Macaca fascicularis: one gene and its partner. Each later gene encodes a partner of the first gene's protein in a complex. Links are inferred from orthologs where the notes say so. Each region holds a gene or a part of one and is shown in the gene's direction. Other genes may lie near its edges. The genes, in order: SMARCAD1 and TRIM28.

Region 1 (3,807 bases):
TTTTTTCAGCAAAGCATGGCTACATATGTATTTTATGCCAGCAGTGTTGAACATCGACTGCACTGAGTAACCCTTCCATTTTCTAGTAATTAAAACCATCCACCCGGATTCCAAATAGTTCTGCAGTTCATGAAGTATTAACAATTGTCTACGCCTTTGAAAAAGATGAGTAATTGAAAAGACTTGCTTATTAGACCAGTTTAAGACCCAGACAAACTTCATAATACACAAATTATTGCTGGGCTGTCCTGTTACCCTTTAGGAAGTAAACTGAGTTGTAAATTATTTTAGATGAATGGTAATTTTGACATTGGTCACAGCACTGTAAAGAGGTGAAGATAGTCGGGTGCAGTGGCTCACACACTTTGGGAGGCCGAGGTGGGTGGATCATGAGGTCAGGAGATCGAGGCCATCCTGGCTAACACGGTGAAACCCTGTCTCTACTAAAAATACAAAAAAAAAGATTAGACAGGCGTGGTGGTAGGCACCTGTAGTCCCAGCTACTCGGGAGGCTGAGGCAGGAATGACGTGAACCCAGGAGGTGGAGCTTGCATTGAGCCAAGATCGCGCCACTGCACTCTAGCCTGAGCGACAGTGCGAGACTCCAACTCAAAAAAAAAAAAAAAAAAAAAAAAAAAAAAAAGGTGAAGATAGTTACAACTCTGCTTACATAAATAAAGATCAGACAGTGTCCTCTTTGTGAAGTATTTTAATATATGTCCAAAAGATATTGGTATGTTCATTTATAGACTAAATACTTACCAGTACTTATTGTGAAACTTTGTATCTGACTGCACTGCCTTAAGTGTACAGAGACACTGCTTCTCGGGCCAGGCACAGTGGCTCGCGCCTGTAATTCCAGCACTTTGGGAGGCTGAGGCGGGCAGATCACGAGGTCAGGAGTTTGAGACCAGCCTGACCAACATGGTGAAACCCCGTCTCTACTAAAAATACAAAAATTAACCGGGCTTGGTGGCATGCGACTGTAATCCCAGTTACTGAGGAGGCTGAGACAGGAGAATCACTTGAACCCAGGAGACAGAGTTTGCAGTGAGCCAAGATCGCACCACTGCATTCCAGCCTGGGCAACCGAGCGAGACTCCATCTCAAAAAAAAGTAATTTCCATCTGAACACAGAAGTGTTTGTTGTAATGTAGTTTTATCTGTGTGTGTGTGTGTGTGTGTGTGTTTGTACACACACATATGTTTTGTTTTGTTTTTGAGATAGAGCCTCACTCTGTCACCCAGGCTGGAATGCAGTGGCACCATCTCTGCTCACTGCAACCTCCACCTCCTGGGTTCAAGCAATTCCCATGCCTTAGCCTCCCAACCAGCTAGGATTACAGGTGTGTGCTACCACACCCAGCTAATTTTCGTATTTCTCTTTCTTTTTTTTTTTAAGTGGAGATCAGGTTTTACCGTGTTGGCCAAGCTGATCTCGAACTGCTGGCCTCAAACAGTCCACCCACCTCAGCCTCCCAAAGTGCTGGGATTAGAGATGTGAGCCACTGTGCCCAGCCAGTAATTTACTTTAAATACAAATATCTTTCTCTTTTCTTGCATCTTTAGGAGTGTCTAAAAGTTAAATATTCAGAAAATGTCAGTCTCAAATGGCTTAAATAAAAGAATTTAAGGATATGTTTGTCATAATTTTCAAGGTATTCTTTTTGAACTCTTAAATATAGTTTACATATATCCAAATAACTATATTTAGTAACCAATGGACATATTTTGTATGTTTTTTTAGAGAAGTACTAGTTATAAAACTAATAAGCCAAGGGACGATTGAAGAATCCATGCTAAAAATTAACCAACAGAAATTGAAACTAGAACAGGATATGACTACAGTAGATGAAGGTAAGTTTTTTGTAAGCAGAAACTTCAGTATTTATATGACCATGCATCTAATTAGTGCAAGAAGGTGACAAAGATGACTAAAGTCCTTAACTAGCTTACAGTTTAGGGGTGATGTGTGATGTGGGAGAAGGTAAGCATATTTACTTCAAAAATACTAAAATAATTTTTTTAAAGTCTCTTAAGTTCAAAATTTTTATTTTTGTATATGTTTTTGAAAAGAATATGTTCAGAACTCAGAAATGAAAGAACAGACACCTCCTAGTCACCCCATCTCCCAACTTCCCCATAGAGGTGGCAAGTGTTAGCCTTTCGTTTTTGTGTGTGTGTGACCAGTTATTTTATGTGTGTAGAAATAAACACGTATTCTTTCTTTTATGGGAGTAAGGGTGCATGTCAACTACGATACACTCTTCTGCACCTTTTCTTATTTAATGTTAAGTTAATTGGAAATAAGCAAGTTTTTTCATTCTAATAAATAAGGATATTCCTGATATTGATAATGGTTCATTTTAATTTAGCAAATTTCTGTTCATGACAGATACTGTTATGTCTGTGTTATATTAGGCACTCTGTACTATAAAAGTCAATACACTTTAATCTGTCTACAGCGAGAGAGAAATGCATATGATCAAATAATTACTTGTTTTTCTTGCATAACATTTCAGGGTGCTATGGAAGCTTGGGGAGGCGGGCAGTAGAAAAAGTTTGAGTAAGAAGCAACTGAGATCTTTAAGGATAAGTAGGGTGATCATAAGTTAAACAATTAACACGAATTACTAGGCTTTTTGTGCATATGGCAACTTGCCAGTTTCAGGTTGTCCAGTAAATACAGTAAAGTGAGTGCGTAAGGCAGATTCTCTTTGGGCAATGTTTTCCTTATTATTTCGCTATGGCAGCTTTTAGAATTTAGTAAAGCATTTAAATTCTTTTTTACCAATACCAGCAAATATCCAGATATATGGATTTTATTCTATAATAAGTTTCTAAATATAGTAGAACCATAATAGTTGATAAAATTAACTATAAGTCTTTTCTTATGGGCTAGTTCATTTCCTCAGAGGTAAATTTTTCAGCCTCCTGTGAAGTGAAGAGAGGTGGGGAGAGGTGGTATGAGCCAATGGCCCTGAGAACTGAAGGAGGGAGGTTTGTTCTCATATTTAAATATTAATAGTTAATCTGCCTGTTTTCAGCAGCCTCTCTGTTCTCTACTATGACAAGTCCAGTGTTCCTCAGACTCATATTCTCCAAAGAGAATAAACCTTCATTTTTATACATCTGGGGCAAATGGCTGGCTTTCTTGGGCAAGCTGTAGTCATCTTACCTGTTCAAGCTGATTATAGCTTCATGTTTCCCATTTACCCCCATTTCCTGAGCTTTGAGGGTAGAAGGGTAAGGATTCTTGGTATGAAGTAGCCTTGCATTTCCCACCTGCAGACACTTAAGCTTTTACTTTATTGTGCGAAAATCAGTTTCCATGCTTTCATCTATTGTTTTCTTTCAAAATTTGTGAACAACTCTCTCTCTGCTGTTGTCTTTTTCGCCTATTCTTTCTCCTTTGTCTAATCCCCTTACACTTTTTTCTCCCATTGTATTTTAATGGTATTACAGATGATGGGAACAGAGGTGATGTGTATATTCAATCATTTTCAGTCATAATTAATGTAAATTATTTGTATTTGTATAAATTTGGTCAGTCTAAAATTTTGCCTGTTCTGTTCACCTGCGTTGTCTGTTAAAATAGCAGTGTATTTTTAGCTGTGCTCTCAAGCCAGTACCTTTGAAATGTTTAGTTATGAAGAATCCTGCCCTCTCTTTACCACTCTCCTTACCACTTTTCCTAGAAGTTTTTCTCTGTCTTGTTAAAGCTGTTTATATGTTTTTTTTCCCAGTGTGTATTTTATTTGCTAGACTAAGGATGTAATGGTGTCTTATTTACTCATTTAGCTGTAA
Region 2 (4,252 bases), on another chromosome or scaffold:
CCTGAGGTGGGGAGTTGGAGACCAGCCTGGCCAAAGTGGTGAAAGTCAGTCTCTACTAAAAATACAAAAAATAGTCGGGCGTGTGGAGGCGGATGTCTGTAATCCCAGCTACTCAGGAGGCTGAGGCAGGATAATTGCTTGAACCCGGGAGGCAGAGGTTGCAGTGAGCCGAGATCGCGCCACTGCACTCCAGCCTGGGCAACAGAGCAAAACTCCGTCTCAAAACAAACACAAAAAGATTTCTTCTTTTGAGATGGAGTTTCGCTCTTTTCTCCCAGGCTGTAGTGCAATGGCACGATCTCGGCTCACTACAACCTTCGCCTTCCGGGTTCAAGCGATTCTCCTGCCTCAGCCTCCCGAGTAGCTGGGAGTACAGGCGCCCGCCACCACGCCCGGCTAATTTTTGTATTTTTAGTAGAGACGGGGTTTCACCATGTTGCCCAGGCTGGTCTCGAACTCCCGACCTCAGGTGATCGACCCGCCTCGACCTCCCAAAGTGCTGGGATTAAAGGCGTGAGCCGCCGCGCCCGGCCACATTTTTTTCGATCTGTTGTCTAGGCTGGCGTGCAGTGGCACAATCCCGGCTCACTGCTGCCCCGGCCTCCTGGGCTAAACGGAGCCTCCCGATTCGCCTAAGAAAATGGTGGGATTACAGGTATGAGCCACGGCGCCCGTCTGTGATCTACATTTGATTTAGGCAACTTTCTGTGTTTCTCAAGTTTAACTATAACGTGGTTAAAATTCAAAAGTCAGCCCCTGCTCTCACACAGGCGCTTCCTCCCTCCTGGGATGGAGCCTGTCCTCCCCTCTCCCGGGGCACAGCCCTTTACTCCGTCTTGGCCCCGCCTACTTCTCCATTGGCCCTGCCCCCTATCCCGAACGCTTAGTGACGCAGAGGCTGGAGACGACTCTACGCGAGCGAAAAGACGCGGGTTGAGGAAGAGTTACGGACTGCCCATGCGCTTGGGCGCACAGCGGCCCGCTTCGGTGTGGTCTGGAGGTGGAGCTGAGAGGGGAATCACACTCTATAAAGGTGCGCACACCCCACTGGCGGATTAAATTGCGGCAGTGACGTCACAGAGGGACCGCCCCGCCCCCACAAGACCCCACCGACGTGGGGTTGGCCGTGGTGGAAGGACCCGGAGTGGGCGCGTGCGTACTGGCAGCCTCTCCCGCCCCGACCGGCCTGGGCCCCGCCCCCGGGCGTGCGGCGCCCAATGCGCGTGCGCGGCGGCGTCGGCGCCAGTTATTTCTGTCCCGCCCCCCGGCCTCGGCTCTTTCTGCGAGCGGGCGCGCGGGCGAGCGGTTGTGCTTGTGCTTGTGGCGCGTGGTGAGGGTTTCGGCGGCGGCTGAGGAAGAAGCGCGGGCGGCGCCTTCGGGAGGCGAGCAGGCAGCAGTTGGCGGTGCCGCAGCAGCGTCCCGCGCGCGGCGGGCAGCGGCCCAGGAGGCGCGTGGCGGTGCTCGGCCTCGCGGCGGCGGCGGCGGCCCAGCAGTTGGCGGCGAGCGCGTCTGCGCCTGCGCGGCGGGCCCCGCGCCCCTCCTCCCCCCTGGGCGCCCCCGGCGGCGTGTGAATGGCGGCCTCGGCGGCGGCAGCCTCGGCAGCAGCGGCCTCGGCCGCCTCTGGCAGCCCGGGCCCGGGCGAGAGCTCCGCTGGCGGCGAAAAGCGCTCCACCGCTTCTTCGACCGCGGCCTCGGCCTCGGCCTCGGCCTCGGTGTCGTCGCCCGCGGGGGGCGGCGCCGAGGCGCTGGAGCTGCTGGAGCACTGCGGCGTGTGCAGAGAGCGCCTGCGACCCGAGAGGGAGCCCCGCCTGCTGCCCTGTTTGCACTCGGCCTGTAGTGCCTGCCTAGGGCCCGCGGCGCCCGCCGCCGCCAACAGCTCCGGGGACGGCGGGGCTGCGGGCGACGGCGCCGGTAAGTACGAAGTGATCGGGGCCACCCCTCCCCCTACTCTCTGCCTTTGATTCCCACTGGGTGCAGAGATGAGGATGCCACCTGGGCAAGAGGATGGGGGCCCGGACAGTGCACGGGGAGTACTTTCTGGGTCCTGCATAGGAACGTGGGTTTGAGCTGGCCGCTGAGATGAGACATCTGACTAAAGTTGGAGAAAGGGCTCGGGGAGGGGAGGGGCTGGCTCGCTGCGGGGTAATGGTCGGGGGCCCACCCAGCACGGGGATGCGGGGGGCCATAACTTGGGTGGGAACTTGTAACAGTCTCCCACATCCCTGCCTCTTGAAGTGGTGGACTGTCCCGTGTGCAAGCAACAGTGCTTCTCCAAAGACATCGTGGAGAATTATTTCATGCGTGATAGTGGCAGCAAGGCTGCCACCGACGCCCAGGATGCTAACCAGGTGCGTCCAACCGCAGCAACCACAGGGAGGTTTCTGGGGAGGGGGCATCTGCCCAGGAGGAGCTTGACACCAGCTCCCAGGCTGTTACTCGACTTTCCCAAGGCTCTGGGTGGGCTGTCTAGGCTGGGTCAAGGGACCAATCTTAATCTTGGGTTGTATTTTCTGAGGTGTAGATGTGGATCTAGCAAGTTGTCTTGCTTTCTCTGACCCTGCCTTTGTCTGGCAGTGCTGCACTAGCTGTGAGGATAATGCCCCAGCTACCAGCTACTGTGTGGAGTGCTCGGAGCCTCTGTGTGAGACCTGTGTAGAGGCGCACCAGCGGGTGAAGTACACCAAGGATCACACTGTGCGCTCTACTGGTACGTGAGGCTGAGGGGGCTGTTGCTTTCCCGTGTGTGCCCTCAGTTGCTTTTATAATGTTGGTTGCATTTGGTGGATGGGTCCTAGAGTTGTCCAGGGGGTGCCGCCCGAAGGGCCGGAGAGCAGAACTCCAAAAGCAGGAAAATTGTGGTTGTGGTGTGTAGTCTCTAGGGCTTAGGTGGGAGGGGGTGGGAAGGGGAGACGTGGAGACCTTAATGTGCTGCAGGGAGGTACAGAGGGTTTGAGGAAGCTTATCAGGGAGTTCTCAGTCCTGGTGTTGAAGGGCTCAGAATATGCAAACAGGGAAAGGCATGGTGTGAAGGGCTTACTGGGTTTGTGGTTCCCTGGCACACATCTGGTATAAGACGCTGTTAGGGAAAATGAGACTTTGTGGGTCCATGGGTTATAAGTGATGGTGATTTCTGGAAACGTTTTAGCTTTTGAGTTGGCAGAGACTTACCCGGAGTTTGGTTTGGCATTTCCAGCTTTTCGCAGACACTCGCTAGCTTTGATTTGGAAAGGAGCTTGAGAGTCTTTTGAGTGTAGCCCAGTTTTTGGGCCAAAATCCTCCCATGAGTGGCCTTTTGGTAGCCATACCGTGATTCTTCCCATCCCAGAGGCCAGCATTGGTGGAAGATAGTGGGAAAGTGGCGGCTGTGGGGCCTGAGGAGCCAGGAGGGATAGGCAGGGGCTGCAGGGTGTCCTACATTCCAGACGTCCCAAGCAAAGGTCAGGGTGCAGGAATGGTGGCACTGGGGAAGTCAGTTTCCCCAGTGAGCCCTGATGCTACGTATTTTGGATTTGGTTGGTATGTTGGACCACTATGCTTAATCGGTTTTCTAATGGGGAAGCAGGCTTTGAAGGTTATTAATGTGTTGGTCTTGGGGTGGAATTATGCTGAGCACCAAGCTCCTGGTCTAGAGGGGGTGTGACCACCATTCTGAGGGTCCTAGTTTGACATTTTATCTCTCCCAGTATGAGAACCTCTACAGGTTTTCTCTGGGCTCTTGGGTTGTAAGAGACCCTGGTGTTTTCTTGTCACGAAAGAGGGAGGAAGTTAACCATGAAAGGAGAAGAAAAGGAGTCCAGGGTGGTTTGTAGGCAGAATTCTGAATATGTCCACTTGGAGAATAAAGGGAACAGTGTGTGTGGGGGGGTAGTCCTCTTTTTCCGGAGGCTGTCCTTACCTTTACCTTTGTGTCACCTCTAGAAGCTAGAAGAAAGGGATGTGTTTCTCAGCTATGTTGGGGCAGAGGTTTCTGGGAGCAAGGAATTGGGCTTGCAGGCCTGTGTTCTTCGCTGGCCACACCCTCTACATCTTCCCAATAAATGGCCCAGTGTCACAGAATGGGCAGGAAATGAGGCCCCAACTTAGTCTGCTTCCTGAGTTGGGGGTGGTGAAGGGCAAGGTCCAGCCTTATGATTCCGACTCCCCAGGGCCAGCCAAGTCTCGGGATGGTGAACGTACCGTCTATTGCAACGTACACAAGCATGAACCCCTTGTGCTGTTTTGTGAGAGCTGTGATACTCTCACCTGCCGAGAC

The links.
Region 2: the proteins of SMARCAD1 (region 1) and TRIM28 are in contact, whole or in part, in a crystal structure (PDB 6H3A), measured with the Homo sapiens proteins. The link is inferred for Macaca fascicularis from reciprocal best matches to the Homo sapiens genes SMARCAD1 and TRIM28. Residues at the interface, in NP_001362784.1 of Homo sapiens: Asp156, Leu157, Ala160, Lys161, Gln163, Thr164, Glu167, Leu168, Phe169, Asp188, Gly189, Ala190, Ala192, Leu196, Ala201, Gly202, Gly203; in NP_005753.1 of Homo sapiens: Arg330, Trp333, Thr334, Lys337, Ile338, His341, Leu376, Lys377, Ile379, Val380, Asp381, Val383.

The regions. Positions count from the first base shown.
Region 1 is NC_088379.1:99,897,827-99,901,633, forward strand, and holds part of SMARCAD1 (SWI/SNF-related matrix-associated actin-dependent regulator of chromatin subfamily A containing DEAD/H box 1), read left to right. Parts: intron 1-1,569; exon of another isoform or gene 1,570-1,658; intron 1,659-1,747; coding exon 1,748-1,857; intron 1,858-3,807. UniProt on the Homo sapiens protein: DNA helicase that possesses intrinsic ATP-dependent nucleosome-remodeling activity and is both required for DNA repair and heterochromatin organization.
Region 2 is NC_088393.1:66,277,714-66,281,965, forward strand, and holds the start of TRIM28 (transcription intermediary factor 1-beta), read left to right. Parts: upstream 1-1,276; 5' UTR 1,277-1,571; coding exon 1,572-1,911; intron 1,912-2,235; coding exon 2,236-2,348; intron 2,349-2,574; coding exon 2,575-2,707; intron 2,708-4,145; coding exon 4,146-4,252. UniProt on the Homo sapiens protein: Nuclear corepressor for KRAB domain-containing zinc finger proteins (KRAB-ZFPs).